Linked DNA regions of Schizosaccharomyces pombe. The protein of the gene in region 2 binds, or shares a complex with, the protein of the main gene of each other region. Each region holds a gene or a part of one and is shown on either strand. Other genes may lie near its edges.

Evidence for each region.
Region 1: rrp40 (region 2) and mtr3 share a complex: the UniProt entries of both Schizosaccharomyces pombe proteins name them as parts of the RNA exosome complex.
Region 3: rrp40 (region 2) and rrp42 share a complex: the UniProt entries of both Schizosaccharomyces pombe proteins name them as parts of the RNA exosome complex.
Region 4: rrp40 (region 2) and rrp41 share a complex: the UniProt entries of both Schizosaccharomyces pombe proteins name them as parts of the RNA exosome complex.

What each region holds. Positions count from the first base shown.
Region 1 is NC_003423.3:3,886,217-3,890,580, forward strand, and holds mtr3 (exosome complex component mtr3), read right to left. Parts: upstream 2,102-4,364; 5' UTR 2,063-2,101; coding exon 1,948-2,062; exon of another isoform or gene 1,910-1,947; coding exon 1,251-1,909; 3' UTR 689-1,250; downstream 1-688. Other genes in the region: ubiquitin conjugating enzyme Ubc8, read right to left, coding at 1-350; uba1 (ubiquitin-activating enzyme E1), read left to right, coding at 2,480-2,485, 2,544-2,608, 2,717-4,364. UniProt on the Schizosaccharomyces pombe protein: Non-catalytic component of the RNA exosome complex which has 3'->5' exoribonuclease activity and participates in a multitude of cellular RNA processing and degradation events.
Region 2 is NC_003424.3:1,177,762-1,181,701, forward strand, and holds rrp40 (exosome subunit Rrp40), read right to left. Parts: upstream 2,180-3,940; 5' UTR 2,171-2,179; coding exon 1,448-2,170; 3' UTR 1,095-1,447; downstream 1-1,094. Other genes in the region: dihydroxyacetone kinase Dak1, read left to right, coding at 1-1,046; mug84 (pig-P phosphatidylinositol N-acetylglucosaminyltransferase subunit), read left to right, coding at 2,493-3,080; SPOM_SPAC22A12.14C (BSD domain-containing protein), read right to left, coding at 3,468-3,940. UniProt on the Schizosaccharomyces pombe protein: Non-catalytic component of the RNA exosome complex which has 3'->5' exoribonuclease activity and participates in a multitude of cellular RNA processing and degradation events.
Region 3 is NC_003423.3:4,229,681-4,234,757, reverse strand, and holds rrp42 (exosome subunit Rrp42), read right to left. Parts: upstream 2,818-5,077; 5' UTR 2,806-2,817; coding exon 2,558-2,805; exon of another isoform or gene 2,492-2,557; intron 2,461-2,491; coding exon 1,809-2,460; 3' UTR 1,562-1,808; coding exon of another isoform or gene 974-1,561; 3' UTR 824-973; coding exon of another isoform or gene 779-823; 3' UTR 678-778; downstream 1-677. Other genes in the region: top3 (DNA topoisomerase III), read left to right, coding at 1-677, 779-823; BAG family molecular chaperone regulator Bag101, read left to right, coding at 974-1,561; kex1 (serine carboxypeptidase), read right to left, coding at 4,295-4,900, 4,948-5,077. UniProt on the Schizosaccharomyces pombe protein: Non-catalytic component of the RNA exosome complex which has 3'->5' exoribonuclease activity and participates in a multitude of cellular RNA processing and degradation events.
Region 4 is NC_003424.3:3,160,907-3,165,103, reverse strand, and holds rrp41 (exosome 3'-5' phosphorolytic exoribonuclease Rrp41), read right to left. Parts: upstream 1,978-4,197; 5' UTR 1,884-1,977; coding exon 1,881-1,883; exon of another isoform or gene 1,833-1,880; coding exon 1,793-1,832; exon of another isoform or gene 1,682-1,792; coding exon 996-1,681; 3' UTR 750-995; downstream 1-749. Other genes in the region: ppt2 (holo-[acyl-carrier-protein] synthase new8), read left to right, coding at 2,250-2,434, 2,493-2,581, 2,661-2,785; pdc201 (pyruvate decarboxylase), read right to left, coding at 3,162-4,197. UniProt on the Schizosaccharomyces pombe protein: Non-catalytic component of the RNA exosome complex which has 3'->5' exoribonuclease activity and participates in a multitude of cellular RNA processing and degradation events.

The DNA.
Region 1 (4,364 bases), on a different chromosome or scaffold from region 2:
GACGCATTAGGATAACGGAGTAGCTGTGGAAGAAAAACCTCAAAAATATTAATCATATCAAACATTGGAGACCAAGTTTGATTTATCACGTCCAAGCAAACACTTCCACTAAGCTCATCGATATTGGGATGAAATATACGATTTACAAATCCAATACTTGGAGATTTCCAAGGATACTCACTTGGCAGTTCAACATGAACTTTCCATATTCCACCTGAGTAAGGGGTTTCAGACGGTCCATGGAACCTAACGTAAAATTCTTGCATATTATCATTGACAAGAGTTACCTCGTAATCACTCATCAGCAGCTTCATAACGTCCGTCTCAATTCTGCGCCTTGGGCTCGACATTTTGATTTTTTATAGTTTTATTTCAAAACTAAAAAAGAACTCAATAATTTTAAGCTAGTGTAGTATTCAAATACGGTAATTTGCTGCAATAAAGGCAAATTCGCAAATTCAGCAGTTTTCGAGTAATTTTCAATAAAATCAAATTATTTTGGACTTTTGGAAAGATTCTTAGCTTCCGTTTTAAATGGTTCTATCCTATTGTCCGTGAATATATCAAATTTTTAAAAGCAACAACTAATAATCATCAATGACCTAATTTAAATGAAAGCAATTTTATTGTATAGAAGAATCCCCTCTTTATCGTCCTTCTTATTGTTAAATATATTTTAATTTACAAACGAGGCAATTGAGCATAAGTTTGGCTATGATGAAGACGCGGAATTTCGCTGATTTGGAGGTTATAAGAAGCAGGTAACAGTATGTGAGTAACAATGATTCTAGTACTACCAAGATGCTTTCGTCTCAATGCAGCTTGATAAATTAGTATCAAATATATGTATTAATAAAATCTCAGCATTTGTTTTGTTCTATTGGAATCGATAAATAGACTGGAAAAAATTGGAAAGAGTTAATCGTTTGGCTACTGAATATATTCGCGAGTGATAAAAACTAAGATCTTTAATTTAATATTTACTCGTATTTTTCATAACAAACGTAACTTGCGGATGGCCAAGCTGATTTCAAAGAAGAAAATCTACTTAGGGAAGTCATCTGCTTGTTTGTCGAGAAAAGATAGCGTCTCCCTTCAAATGTGTGTTAAGGAAAAAAAGGCAAAACTTGAGCATTGCCAACTAATAGAAGAGAATTTTAAAAAGAAATAAATTTGATTATGTAATTTGTAAAATTGGTATAAATATTAGCCATCAACAGAATATTATTATAGAGGTAGAATTCCAATATCTAAGGATCTTCGGATTTCGACTTCTCTAGTAGCAGTGCATGATTAATTACTAACCGAGTATCTTTGGCATTCTTTATGCATTTTTCCGTCAAAAACGAAAGGCGACTCGGAGAGCAAGTGCCTCTTTCCCATACTTGAGTAACGTGACCAAGAGAAGCCATGTACCCCATAACTACAGAACCTTTAGCAGCCCTTGCACGCTCATCCACATAATCAGGATCAATCCAATATTCATCCGTATTGGGATTAAATAATACACTCGAGCCCGTCACCAAATCTATGCAGTCGATGTTAGCATCAGCTATTGCACTTGATGCGCAACTTATAGCAGCAGCCAATGTTGCTAATGCACCGTCACTTTCAATCACTTGAATATAAACGTCTATAGAACTTTTCGGATACAAATGCAGTAATATACTTGGAGAAATTGCTGCTTCAATCATTTGGGAATAGCTTTTTTCTTCGACGGTTTGTACATGTCCCTGACGAACAGAAGTAGAAAATGGGGATAATCTAAATTCACAATTCAACTTTGCTGATGAACGAAAAGCAAAAGTCTTACTAGGTCGAGGACCAGAGACTGTGCATGCAATTTTTATTTTTTCTGATTCAAAATAACTGCTACCGACAGCTTTAGTAGCCCACCCTAATTTTAGATCTAATTGTCAGTGAAAATGTTAATAATCGGTATCTTACATATTTTTCGACATCTGTCAACATCACGAGTCCGCGTGAAAACAGGTTGTTCTGGCTCTTCAAAATAAGGGGGAACGGATACACTCGGTCCATACACTCTCTTTCTATCTGACATCGATTTATAGAGTATTTGTTTTAACCTTGATGTACCGTTAAGAAAACAATACAGAAGCAGCCTGGATTTTCAGTGGTGGCTTCGCGTTTTGGGATGACGCGTTTGCATGCCTTAATATATATAACGATATTGTTTGATTCGGTGTATATATGACATATAGAAAGCAATTTTATCGCATCTAAAAGATTTTTGTAATGACTAAGCGTTTCAATCAGTAAGCTGGAAAATAAAAATGCTTTTAGAATAATGGTGCAAAATTTTTTTTTATCCAGCCAGCATACTTCAAGTGCGCGCTCTTAAATTTAATGAGTAATAAATTGTTAAGCATGTGTAACGAAAGAGCTCGCTATTTGAACATATAAAAACACTATATTATAGCCTACGTATGACTCTCCTCTGCCAACACCACGTTTCGTAATGAGTGTATGTAATTTGTTTAAATGATTCAAGTATTTTTCGCTTCTTACTAACATTGCAAAAGAATAACATGAACATTGATCAAACGGATCAAAATACTATCGATGAAGGGCTTTACTCTAGACAACTGTAAGTTTTATTAGAAACATGAAGAGTCATTATTACCGGTGTTGATTTGGTTTAGCTTTATGTTTTTATATTCTTTCTTGTACTGAGCGCTTGCTAATTTATCTAAAGTTATGTTTTAGGCCATGAGGCTATGAAACAAATGAGTCAGTCGAATGTCTTAATCATTGGCTGCAAAGGTTTAGGCGTTGAAATAGCAAAGAACGTTTGTCTAGCAGGTGTAAAAAGCGTTACTCTTTACGATCCTCAACCTACACGCATTGAGGACTTATCATCACAATATTTTCTTACAGAAGACGATATTGGTGTTCCTCGTGCAAAAGTAACGGTATCAAAGTTAGCAGAGCTTAATCAATATGTGCCTGTTTCTGTAGTTGATGAACTTTCAACAGAGTATCTAAAAAACTTCAAATGCGTGGTTGTCACAGAAACTTCTCTTACGAAACAGCTAGAAATTAACGACTTTACACACAAAAACCATATTGCTTATATTGCTGCTGACAGCCGTGGTCTTTTTGGATCGATATTTTGTGATTTTGGTGAGAACTTTATTTGTACTGACACTGATGGAAATGAACCTTTAACTGGAATGATCGCTTCAATTACTGATGATGGAGTTGTTACCATGCTTGAAGAAACTCGTCATGGATTGGAGAATGGTGATTTTGTTAAATTTACCGAAGTGAAGGGTATGCCTGGTTTAAATGATGGCACTCCTCGTAAAGTTGAAGTGAAAGGTCCATATACCTTTTCTATCGGATCTGTTAAAGATTTAGGAAGTGCCGGTTACAATGGTGTCTTTACCCAAGTTAAAGTTCCAACCAAAATATCTTTCAAATCTCTCCGCGAATCGCTCAAGGACCCTGAATATGTATATCCTGACTTTGGTAAAATGATGAGACCTCCACAATACCACATTGCTTTCCAGGCCCTTTCAGCATTTGCCGATGCGCATGAAGGTTCATTGCCTCGACCCCGTAACGACATTGATGCAGCTGAATTTTTCGAATTTTGTAAGAAAATTGCAAGCACACTTCAATTTGATGTTGAACTCGATGAAAAACTAATTAAGGAAATTTCATACCAGGCAAGAGGTGATTTGGTTGCAATGTCCGCGTTTTTGGGCGGTGCTGTAGCACAGGAAGTGTTGAAAGCTACCACCAGTAAATTTTACCCATTGAAGCAATACTTCTATTTTGACTCCTTAGAAAGCTTGCCATCTTCTGTAACGATCAGTGAAGAAACTTGTAAACCTCGTGGCTGTCGATACGATGGGCAAATCGCTGTTTTCGGTTCGGAATTTCAAGAGAAAATAGCTTCTTTGAGTACGTTTTTGGTTGGTGCTGGCGCTATTGGATGTGAAATGCTGAAAAACTGGGCTATGATGGGTGTCGCTACTGGTGAAAGTGGTCATATTTCTGTTACTGATATGGACTCCATTGAAAAATCGAATTTGAATCGTCAATTTCTCTTTCGTCCTCGTGACGTCGGAAAGCTGAAGTCCGAATGTGCTTCTACCGCTGTTTCAATCATGAATCCTTCATTGACTGGTAAAATAACTTCATATCAAGAACGTGTTGGACCAGAAAGCGAAGGCATATTTGGCGATGAATTCTTTGAAAAGTTATCTTTAGTCACGAATGCTTTGGATAACGTCGAAGCTCGAATGTATGTTGACCGCCGTTGTGTATTTTTCGAAAAGCCATTATTAGAGTCTGGTACTTTGGGTACTAAGGGTAATACGCAAGTTGTTGTACCT
Region 2 (3,940 bases):
CCTCTATTGATGACCTAATCGCTCAGATGCTTAAGCAAATGTTGGATCAATCCGACAAGGACCGTGCCTATGTAAAGATTGAGGGTGACGATGAAGTAGTCTTACTTATGAATAACCTTGGTGGTCTTTCCATGCTTGAATTCAGTGCCATTAGCCACAAGGTGAAGGAAGCATTGGCTAAAGAATACAAAATCAACCCCGTTCGCATCTTTGCCGGTCCATTTACCACCAGTTTGAATGGCTTGGGTTTCGGTATCACTTTGCTCCGTACCACTGACCGCGTCAAAGTCGAGGGCGAAGAATACTCTTTGGTTGATTTGATTGACCAACCTGTTGAAGCTATCGGATGGCCTTTGTGTCAACCCTCTGACTTGAAGTCCAAAAACAAGATTGGCAATGTCAGCATCGAGGAGGGTCAGAAGGATGTCAAGTCTCCCGTTACTGTCGATAAGGAGAAGGTTCGTCAGGCGATTGTCAATTCGATGGAGAATCTCATCAAAGCAGAGCCTAAAATTACAAAGTTCGATACGATGGCTGGTGATGGTGACTGTGGTACTACTTTGAAGCGTGGTGCTGAAGGTGTTTTGAAGTTTGTTAAATCCGACAAATTCTCTGACGATCCTATTCGTATTGTTCGTGATATCGCAGATGTTATTGAAGACAATATGGATGGTACATCTGGTGCTTTGTACGCCATTTTCTTCCATGGCTTTGCGAAGGGCATGAAAGACACCTTGGAGAAGAGCAAGGACATTTCATCTAAGACATGGGCTGCTGGTTTGAAGGTTGCTCTTGATACTCTTTTCAAGTATACTCCCGCTCGTCCTGGTGACAGCACTATGTGTGATGCTCTTGTTCCATTTGTCGAAACATTTGTTAAAACTAATGATCTTAATGCTGCCGTAGAGGAGGCTCGTAAAGGTGCTGATGCTACTGCAGATATGCAAGCCAAACTTGGACGTGCTGTCTACGTTGGTGATGATGTTAAAGTTCCCGATGCCGGCGCTCTTGGTGTCGTTGCAATTGTCGAAGGATTTACGAAATAATTGGATACGAAATTTTTTTGGGATTGTAGAATTGGTATGATCTTAAAAACTATTTACGAGCACGAATAACAATTATATTTTCATTATGCATGCATTAATTATTGCTTACTTATCTTTGCATCTGTATTTGTATATTCATGCATTATAATAAGTAATTTTTTAATTAAAACAGTTGAGAAAGGACGAGTGTAGATATTGTATGAACACGCTGCTGTAATAAATAAAAGAACGACAGAAATTGTATGGGAATATTAGACACAGGCATTAAAGAAGAAACAATACACTTTATTCAGAAATGGTCCCTCCTAGATAAGGGCAAACCATTTTTGAATTAAACCCAATTGGACAAGAATTGTTAAATAGACTGTGCATATTATTCAAATTTTTTTTTCTGAATCTCGTTAGAGCTTTTTAATAAGGTCTTTACAGTACTTTATTTGCTCTTCATCAGACATGAATTCGCAATTTCTGATAGCTGTACAAATGAGGACCGTAGTAGAAAGATTTTCAGAATTGACCCAAACGCGACCATTCATTCCAACAGCAATTTCGAAAGGAATGTAGCTTCCTAGGGTCTGTAAAAGTGTATTTTTAGGAAGGATCAACTTCCTACAATGAGATAAAGATAAACCTGTTATCATATAACCGTTTTTAAGTTCACCATATCCTGCAGCTTTCCCTGTGGTAGCATCGAAACATTCTAACTCCGGTTCCATATCACGATCAGCGAGTGATACTCGAGCATACACAAGGCTTCCAACATTTAAATTGGGCCTACTTTTACGAGTCACATTTTCAAAAGCCAATGCATTCAATTGAGCAATATGAGCTGACCCAATATCTACTCGATAACCTTCCGCAAATCTAGAAATAATTTGCCCAATAACTTGATCATTTGTAGCAGGAATATATCTTTTTGTCCGTGAGTCTATCAACATAGCATTTTTTCCAGTTTGATGCAACCTCCCAGCTTTTGAGACCACTATTTCTTCTTCACGGTCTTTCTTTTGAAAGACTAAACCAGGACCTAAACGAATTGATCCATCCTGACTAATTATGGAGTCTGGTATCCGCTCACCAGGAAAGTAATAAGATAACAGACCTTTTTCTTCAACTTCAGCCATTTGGTTAACAGAAGAAAATTAGCTATTTGGGGTTTGATTTTTCGCGAGTTATACACTATAATTCGAGGATTAATGTCTTGGACGGTAAGTGTGTCTAAACTAATACTGTAAATCTCGTTAATTTTATAAATCACATTAGCCCAGACTGTGAAAAATAACGCAAACGTACATTGTGCTATAATGCTGTTTACGAGGATTTTCTGTATGTATGTCGTTAATAGGGATATCGAATTTAATCACATCGTAAGCAGACGTAGTTGTATTTGTATCATCTCAGTACGCGCTCTCATCTAACAAATGCACATAGTAAACACATGTTTGGATGACACTTACTCATCATTCCACGTTCATAAAAGGGATAGAGGGTTCTGCTGAAGGAGAGATAGAAGATGTAAGGCAAACTACTGTTTTTGATCCTCCGTTTTACGGACATCCGATGTTGGTTCCACCGTCGCCATCTTTGACTACGATGTTTCGAACGAGGTCTACAACGCCTGATGAAGAGGGAACTGCCATTGCAGAAATTGATCAACAAGATTGGGATATAATGGTAAAAGTTCCTACTTATGAGTATTACGGGTTCGTGATGTATTTGGTGTCAATGTTGGGGTTCGGCGTGTATATTGTTTGGGCTCTGACGCCTGCGCCTGTTCTCAAATTTTTTGAGATTCATTATTATCTATCTCGTTGGTGGGCTCTAGCTATTCCTACTTGGTTATTTGTTCTTGTTATTTACATTCACGTTGTGCTAAACGCTTACAATACCGAAGTATTGACTAAGCCATTTAGCAGCTTAGAATGTATCGTTGATCAATACGCACTCGTTGGTGAAGAAGATGGTGCTGCTCATGGTCGAGTTGTTGATCTTCGCCTATGTGATGTGAATAAACAACAACTGGAAGAAACTTAAAAAAGACTAAAAGCAGCTAAGTGATATCAGAATTCATTTTCTCCTTAAAAATCTTCATTATTTAAGGGACTTATTATCTATTGATGTCGTCGACCCATACAGATTTACTTTTAAATCCTGGTTTCCTTAAGTTTCACAATCAAAAAGTATATGTAAATGTATAATATTATAAGAAGGTTGATTAATGCTCTAGTCCTACTACTCCAACCTGCATACTCAAGATTAGATGTTTTTTATATTCCGCTAATAATATACCTAAGAGTTGTTCGTAAACAAAATGTTTTCAGACAAATAATTAGCTATACGAACAAAACACACCAAAACAAGTAAATGAATAGAAGAGAAGTAAAAACAGTATATCTCTTTTTAATAGTTTGACGAGAGTCGTTATTCCCAGTCATCATCGTCTTCATCATCGTCATCAACTTTTCTATTTGCTTCATCCTTCACCTCAAGAGAACTTTGAGAAGCTTCTATATTACTGGAAGATGATACTTTATTTTCCTCTTCTTCTTTAACTTCTCCATCAACCTCTCCATCATGGCTTGCGGGTTGAGTTTCAATTTGTAAGCCTTTTGAAACTGCTGACTCCAAATCATTGACGGTTTCATCTATCACTTCAGCTGCTGAATTATTCTCAGTAGTATCTTCTTCACTTGATTGCTTTTTTTCATCATTAACCTGTTCATTGTCACTTTCTTCTTCATCACTTCTTTCATCTCCCCAACTAAAAATTTCTTCTTCATCGTTTCCTGATTGAATTGCCTTTATCGGCTGTACAACCTCTTTATGCCAAAAAAATCGTTTCCAAAAATCATCATAAGAAACTTCAGAAGGTACTAAAGATTCCATCTGTTTCC
Region 3 (5,077 bases), on a different chromosome or scaffold from region 2:
CACCTATTCATCCCGTTCAAATGGTTCACCGGTCAGCGCTTCCTTCCCAAGATCATTGGAAAGTATATGAGCTAATTACAAGAAGATTTTTAGCTTGTTGTTCTGACAATGCCAAAGGAGCCGAAACGTTGGTGCAGGTTAAAATGGAAGAAGAGCTTTTTTCTAAAAAGGGATTGCTAGTGACAGAGAAAAATTATTTAGAGGTTTATCCATATGAGAAATGGGAAAGTTCGGATCAATTACCAGAGTATAGACTTCACGAGGAATTCCAACCCCACATTCTCGACATGATGGACAGTTCAACGTCCTCCCCTTCCTATATCACTGAACCGGAGTTAATTGCCTTGATGGATGCCAATGGAATCGGGACAGATGCTACTATGGCAGAGCACATCGAAAAAGTTCAGGAGAGAGAATATGTCATAAAACGAAAAAAAAGGGGCCAAGGTGTAACTGAATTTGTACCAAGCTCTTTAGGAGTTGCTTTGGCAAAAGGCTATGATGAAATTGGTTTAGAGTGGAGTTTGACCAAGCCTTTCTTGCGAAAAGAAATGGAAGTTCAACTTAAAAACATAGAAAATGGCCAACTTAATCGGAATGTTCTAGTTCATATGATCCTTACCCAATTCCGTGATGTTTTTCATCTCACAAAGCAAAGATTCGATTGTTTAAAAAATGTAAGTCAAATTATCATTGTTTCCTACTTTTCCAATTTTCAAAATCCCATACTTTATTTATTAATCTTTTCATTTTATGGTTGCTAACAAATATAACGCAGAGTTGCAGAGTCTACCTTATGAGTCATAATGAACCGCAAACCTAGATAACCAGACCGCTCGTATACTTTTATTAACTTATTACCTTTCGTTTTTAAGCGTCGCATTAAGACCTTCATTTTTTTGGATAGCATCAGCCTTAAAAACATAAAACATCTTGAGTTGGATCCGTTAAGCAAGTCGACTTAATATCGTCAATGTCAGAAAAGACTAGCACAGTTACAATACACTATGGAAATCAGCGATTTCCGGTAGCAGTCAATCTAAATGAGACGTTAAGTGAACTGATTGATGATTTACTTGAAACGACTGAGATTTCTGAGAAGAAAGTCAAGCTTTTTTACGCTGGCAAGCGTTTAAAAGACAAAAAAGCCTCGTTATCAAAATTGGGTTTAAAAAATCATAGTAAAATTCTATGTATAAGACCACATAAGCAACAACGAGGTTCCAAGGAAAAAGACACGGTTGAGCCCGCTCCGAAAGCGGAAGCGGAGAATCCTGTATTTTCGCGTATTTCTGGAGAAATAAAAGCCATCGATCAGTATGTTGACAAAGAACTTTCCCCCATGTACGACAATTACGTAAATAAACCGTCGAACGATCCAAAGCAGAAAAACAAACAGAAACTAATGATAAGTGAACTACTTTTACAACAGCTTTTAAAATTGGATGGAGTTGACGTACTGGGCAGCGAGAAATTGCGTTTTGAACGGAAGCAACTTGTTTCTAAGATCCAAAAAATGTTGGATCACGTTGACCAAACAAGCCAAGAAGTGGCCGCATAGGCTTTATTATTTTTATAGACGTTACCATTTCATTTCCCTTAAATTATTCCCATCTACTATACTTGCTATATGACTTTGACCTAAACGAAATACAATGACCAACCATAGTAACCAAAAATACCGATGCATGCCTCTTCATGTAACAAAATTGATCCTGATTCCGTAACCCAAGTATTGCATTTATATATATATATAGAGAGAAAGATGCTATTATATAGGAAATGGAGACCAACCCAACCCAATTCATTTATGGAAGAATATCAAAAAATCCTAAACCCTTAAAAGATAGAATATCGCTGCTGGCGTTCAAAAGCTTAGTACCAACGGTAGACGCAGTCTCTAACAATTCTATATATCGCTCTACAGTTATTGCACGTCCAGTGGATGCGTAGCCTCCTCCAGTACCCACGACCCTGGTATAGCTAATAGCACCACTAGCTTGAACACCAATCGCATATGTCACTTGAGCGACACTTGATTCCTCAATTGTAGGATCAACAATTATCACTTGATCAATGCTACTAACCAAAATTATGACTGACATTAATTCTAACCCTTGCAAAGGTAATGCATTTTCCCATTCTGAATCAACATCGTATTCTTCGGAAGGCTCATATTTAGTAGATCCAATAGTGATGTCTGTGACATTGGGGGTAGAAATTTTAGGTAAACGTGTAGTCTGTAATGCTAAATAAGCAGCAAGACTTAAAGCTGAAAGAATGTTTTCGTAAGGAGACGAAGAAAGTATTACAACAGCATCTACGTGAATAATCCAAGCTTTAGATGGTGTAAATTTCAAATAGTCGACAGCAAGTGCGTTTAATAAATCCTGAAGGGCACTTGTAAGGAATGAAGGAATTTCATCGGTTTCACGATTCTGGATTGAAACAGATGGAGAACTACATAAAAAGTGTTAGCATACCAGCTTTTTTCAATTGATTCATATTGTTTGTTACGCCAAACAATGTTAATACGAACTCCAAATATCTCACGTACATTTCAACTGAAGCGACATATTTACCACCTTCGGGAGTAGCATCACCCACTTCTGCTTTTACACCTATGACTATCTCCACCGAAGACGCCCATTTAACTCTAGCAGAACCATTTGTACCAGGCAGAACATCTACTTGTCCAGAAAGCGGACGAAGCTGGTCTATCGAACGTCCATCATTCCGAATTGCAGGCTCAAATTCTGTTATTGATTTGTGTGTGTACGATAGTTCTGGTAATGACAATTGCATATGTTGGCTAATGGTATATCGTTTAAGAATAATTTTCCTTGCAATATTGCGTTGAGTTCTTGCGTATATTCTAAAGTTCGTTATGTATGCTACGCAGTTTTGTATCTGTTTAACGATATGCAAAACCGCGATAAGTTTTACATGTGATCTGTTATATTATAATACATAGGTATAACGGCTATGAGTCATTGAAAATATTGGTATATGTAGGTATTATTTATGATCTATTTCTGTTATTAGCTTCTGACTAAAGTGAGGAACGAAATTTAGTTTCCTATTTAAATTGTTGAACATATAAACTAAATATTTGTTTCAGATATCAAATGATTTGCCCCAATATCTATCATCTACGAGGCTATGTTTAAATAGAACATGTTCCAAATGTGATACACAACGTAGTAAATTATAGCGTTGTCAGTACTACTGCGACATGTTTTTTTATTAGCTAAGACTTGTTTATTGACACAGCAGAAAAGGCGCATTCTCTAAAAATTTCGCAAGTTTACATCAGTTGAAAATGCTTGGGCAGTTGGTGCTTCATTATAACCTATTCCTTCAAAATTTTGGATGCAAAACCTACGCTGAAATATTATTTACCACTTTGATGCAATTTGGCCGAGTAGCAATAAGATCATATCTGGTGTTCTGTTCGATAGCGTGCCATCTGTAAGTATCCATCCACAAGCAAGTTGGGCCTATTGGATCATGGATTTAAAGACGTTGTCATCGAAATAAAACTATCCAATTTCTTCTTTGATATAGAGCTAGTTCACTCGTTGCCTAGACCTATTTAGTTAAGGCTGTCTGTAAAATTTACCAAACGCATCAATTGTGTCCCTGATAACGTGCGTCGATTTTGGATTGTCAAATATGATTACAGTAGATCTGTTATTAGCTTGCAGTTCTCCTTTGTTCTCATGCGTAGATGTGATAGAATCCTCCCATTGCTATAGCTTCTAACTGAATTTAGGAACGTGATTCGATTATAAATTATTTATAATAATCGATTATTAAGGGATGTAACGGATTGTCAATATAAACAGACAGATCTCACTAGTATTTATACATTTGTGACACATGTTACAAGACGTAGTTCTCCATGATATACTGTACTATTGCAAACACGTTATTGAGATTAGCGTTTGACGCTAATCTGTCCTATAAAAAAACTACAAAAACTGTAGAACAAACAATAGCTATAAGACAATGTTTGGTACATGATATTTCATATTCATGATTTGAGATCATTTAGAGACTATGTGCAAAAATAAAAATTCAAAGAATGTATCCATAAGTGAAATTTGATTAAAGATGAGAGATAAAATTTATGGTGATAATCGCAGATTTTTTAAAACCAGGGAAGAACGTTCCAAGATAAAAAAATAAATTCTACCACCGATAAAGCAAGATTAAAAGTTAAATGATTAAAATAAAGAGCAGAAAATCTGTATGTGAAAGTAAAAACCGACAGAAAAGATTTATATACAGTCTAAGGAGTTGGAGATATAGGTTGGTAGCGTTGTTTGCTAAGACCAAATAATCCAAATCTCCTGCACAAATAAATTGAGAATAAAATAATGATAGTTAAAGCAACAGGAATCAAACCCAAATAAAGCCATTTGTAGTTTCCATTACCTAAATCCGGAGAGGGTTTAGGTACCGATGGTAAGCTGGCAAAGTCATTATTAAAGAAAGCAGTAATCAAGGTCTTCATTTCATTAGGATGATCGTATGGAACCATGTGACTAGCTTCAACTATGCGAGCAAAGGTCAGGTTCCGGGAACTAACATAGGAGCCCGATGGTTGATCAGAATAGCCCGGAAGATAAAATGGTTGAGCAGATTGATTTTGAAAACCAACAGCACCATTCCACTCCAGTGATCGGGTTAATTTTTCGCCAGATAAATAATTACAAAGAAAGTCATTTTCGCCGTAAAACAACAAAATAGGAACCGTAGATACAAGGTCCTGGATTAACTTAGATGAGGACTCAATCCCTTCACGAGCATATTGTAGGGCAACGTCGTCATTACATTCTTCCCAATCATGAACCTTTTCGAGGTTAACGTTTAAGGAAGTCATCGCTTCACGAGTCTGACAATGTTAGTAAAAGATATATTATCATATAATTATAAACATACACTTAAAAATTCAGTAAGATAGGAAAGATCGTAAGGCCAGTCCATTCCACAAGTAGGATATGTCGATTCTAAGCTAATGTCATACATGTTCATACATGCTTTCCCAGGTTCCTTTGACACCATGTATAAA
Region 4 (4,197 bases), 2.0 Mb from region 2:
ACGAAGTTTCATTTTTACTTTGGTTGAACGGCACGAGATTCCTCATTTTTAAAACGAAGGTAATATTAACTGTTGATCCTACAGCGATTCTTCCATTTTATTAATCAAGATGTCCTTGAAATCAGCAATCAACTAGTAACGGCAGAATTTGAGTATGTATATTCGATGAATTGTGAGAAACCCTATTTACAAGAATATGCATTAATAAGTATCTTAGTATACTCATTTTGTAGCTTTCAATGCTTATTAGAAAGGCCGATCTGTGATCGAAAAATATAAAAACTGCTCCGGCAGTGACTCGAACACTGGACCTCCTGTTTACGAGACAGGCGCTCTACCACTGAGCTACAAGAGCTACTGTTAGTTTGCACCATTATAGAAATATATAAAATAAAAATACTGTGTTTTTCATATTTTAACATTAACAAATTTAACATTTATCTCGAAAAACAGTTTTACGATTCTCATAATAAACCTTAGGTTTCTTATATCTAAAAATCTAAAAAAATATATATATATATATATATTTTCTTTTTAATCCACATCAATCTGTAATATCTGTTGAATGAAAAATTCCCGGTTGTTTATGAAAGCCTCCCCCAAAAAATAATCAATTTATTATAATAAGTGAGATCTGAATAACCGAATTTATTCATAAAATCTTCAACTAATTAATGAGCCTTTTTTGATGCATAATATCTACAGTACAATCCATATTTTTTGTAATATAAGCCCCTTTAGACAAAAAAGGGACGCAATCATTAAAAGATTATATACGATATTCGAGGTGATTTTTTTGATACTTATACAGAAATACCAAGGATAAGGACAAAAACGTTGTACTAGGAATAAAATGAGTAAAGCTGTATACGTTTTGTCAGAATATCGTAGAGCTAAGTAAAGTTGCAATTGTGATGACTTATCAATGTATAATTATAAAAATTAATCTTCCCGTTCATTTATTTTTAATAGTTTTTTTCCCCAAAATTTTGTCATTAGCTGAGACTTGCAAGTGCCGGTTTAGCGCTTTGTCGAACCGCACTTTGCATCGTGTTATAAATATGTTCTGATCCAGCGATCGCCATATTCATTACTGACTCCAAATAATCCAAATGCATACTAGTTTCCAGCTGCATATATACGACCTTTTTTATGTTCCCCAAAACAGCAACCGTCAACCATGAAAGAGCTGACTCCTCTAGTGAGTTTAAATCCAACAGCATATCAGACTCAACAATCCCAGCTGTACTACAGCAAACGAAATCTTTAACTGGTATACCAGCATCTATTAAGGCAAGAGTAGTAGCGTTGATACAAGATGCCATTACTGCACCATCATCTTGTAAAACATGCAAGTAGACAGAAATTTGACTTCTGGGATATAATTCTGTTTGAATTATCTCCTCAAATGTATTTTGTAAAGCTAAACATTGCAATTGAATTCTCCTATCCGATTTAAATCTCTTTTTCACATCTATTGTGCTGAAAGAAGCAATGTTTATTTCGACATTCACAAATGTTCTGTCAGCTCTAGCTTTGGACTTTATTACAGGCTCCGAGGGTCCATCGACTATACACAAGACCTTTGTGTTACCCAATTCAATAAACGCCGACCCATTCTCCGAAGGCTCGATTCCAATACGACACTGAAAGTTTCTCATCTCATCCCACCGTCGACCATCTTGCAACAAATATTAGCACACAGAAAGATTAATACATTTTATAAGAATCATAGATGTTTGAATGTAAATTTTAAGTTTCTTTTTCATTTCCCATAAATGAATTGGCTTACCATTTCGAAGACCTTCAAGGGATAAAATCTCAAAGTGTGACTATATGGTTAGTACTCGTATTATCTAGAGATAAATTCTATCTCTTACCATATGAAATTTTTTTTTTCGTGATTGAAAGGATTACAAATATATAATTTTTGGTTCCCTTTGAACACTTTTGTAACTGGGAGTGAGTAGAGAGTACACTTGTTACAGTAAAAACTCCTGCTACTGCATTCGCTACGAAACGAATTGGATTTGATGTCTTTGGGGGCACTAATCGATAATGAATTAGATAAATTTATTTCATTTTATTTAAGGATAAAGATTTTTATATCTCGTTTAGTGTGTCGGAAATTTAGTTTACAATATATTATTAATTAAGCGTTCAAAATTATTGAAGCCATAGATTTCTTTTTTTCTTCTTGCATTACCATTAATATTTCCTGTTCATGTTATAAAGAATCAAAAATCGAAATGGGTTTAGGGATTGACATTTTAAAAATTTCAAGAATCTCAAGATTAATTCAACGCTCTCCTGAATGGGAAAAGAACTTTTTAAAAAAATGTCTGTGTGAAAATGAAATTAAAAAGTACAACCTGATTAAAAGCAATTCCTCGCTGCCTCGTTTAAGCGAACAGGCTAAATGGCTTGCTGTTAGGTATGCTTGTCTATATTTATGATCGTTTCATAGTTTTAACGGTTATTTTCCTATGTAGATGGTGCGTCAAAGAAGCTGTTTTCAAAGCTTTACAACCGAATTTTCGAGTTTACATGTCTATGATGGAGTATGTTCGAACTCCCACAGGTGTGTCATTTGTTTTCCATGTTCAATGTTTAAAAATAAAAGGTTTGTAAAGTTACTGACTTTGTTATGATTAATATAGGCTACCCTTCCGTTGTTATTCATGATCCCCGATTTCCGCTTTCTCCCGTAATGGTATCTGTAAGCCATGAGGAAGATTTGGTTGTAGCGAATGCTTTGTATCTACCATCTATGCCAAAGACATAGACGAGAGACCAAATTGAAGGTACTATATTATTTAGTGATTCTATTGCTGCTACTCATTACCAGTCGTCTCAATGACCTTTTTTTATGTTATTGAGTTTATACTAACAGGGAATTATCTGGACAAGTCTACCTTGGAGTAAGGGGATGCAAAAAGAAAAAAAAAATAAATCATTCAATGAATCCTAATTACCAACAAAAAAACAACCGCTGCATAAACTTCAATATATTCATTCATTTTATGAAAGAAATATGGATTGACGTAGAAAAAAAAAACGACTGTTGCAAATTAACTAACCTAACAAAAGCATCATTTGAGAAATATTGTAAATTTCAAAATCAAAAACATATCATAATAATATAGCCATAGCCATATTTTTTACTGCTTGTTAAGAGAAGCGGTAAGTTTGGCTTGCTCAATCAAAACACGAGGAGCATCCAAGACAGGCATATGAACTTCAACGAGCTGAATTACATCAGCTTTTCCAAATTCCTCATCTTTAAAGAGATCGAGGAGCTCCTTTTCTGAATGAATGTTATAGGAGCGAGAATTTTTGGCACCATAGCCTTTAAGAAGGTTTTGATAGTCCCATTCAGTGTTGATGTCGTTGTAAACAGCGTGAAGACCGTGAATGAGACGTTCAATTGTATATCCCTTATTGTTAATTACAAATATGATAGGGGTGAGACCGTTACGGATGGTAGCAGAAATTTCCTGAACAGTTAAATGAAGGGAACCGTCACCAACAATCAATATGGAACGACGGTGAGGAGCATCGGAATCCTTGATGCCCAACGTAGCACCAAACATAGCGCCAACCGACCAACCAATTGAGCCCCATAATACCTGTGAGAGATTTTGGCAGCCTTTGGGGAAAATGCAATCCAAAATACCAAAGTTGGAGGTACCTGTCTCGGTAGTCACTACATCGGACTCACGAAGAAAAGAGGCAAACGTAGGCCAGAACCATTTGTGGGTAATGGTTCCTTCGGCGTAACCCTCAGCAGCAACAGCCTTTGGTGGCTCAAAGTGAACAGGACGGGCCTTTGCCTGAACGGACTTTTTGTCAATGGCAGCGGTGAGCTTGGGCAACAAATGTTTCATCGAAATGCCCTCGTAAACGCCAGAACGAATTTTGGTGTAGTCGGAATGAAATTCGATGGTTTGAGATGCAGGGGTAGCATAAGTAAAGGTGCCCGAGTTGAAATCGGAGCGAAGACCACCGATGATGAGAAGCAAGTCAGTAGATTCGGCACGTTCTTTGATGGAAGGCTCGGTCAAGGAGCCAATGTAGACGCCATCAAAGTAGGGGGATGACTCATTGATCGCAGTCTTACCCATGGGAGTAACGTAAGTGGGGAAATGGGTCGCATCAATAAAGTCTTGGGTTTCCTGTTGAATGTGGAAGCGGGAA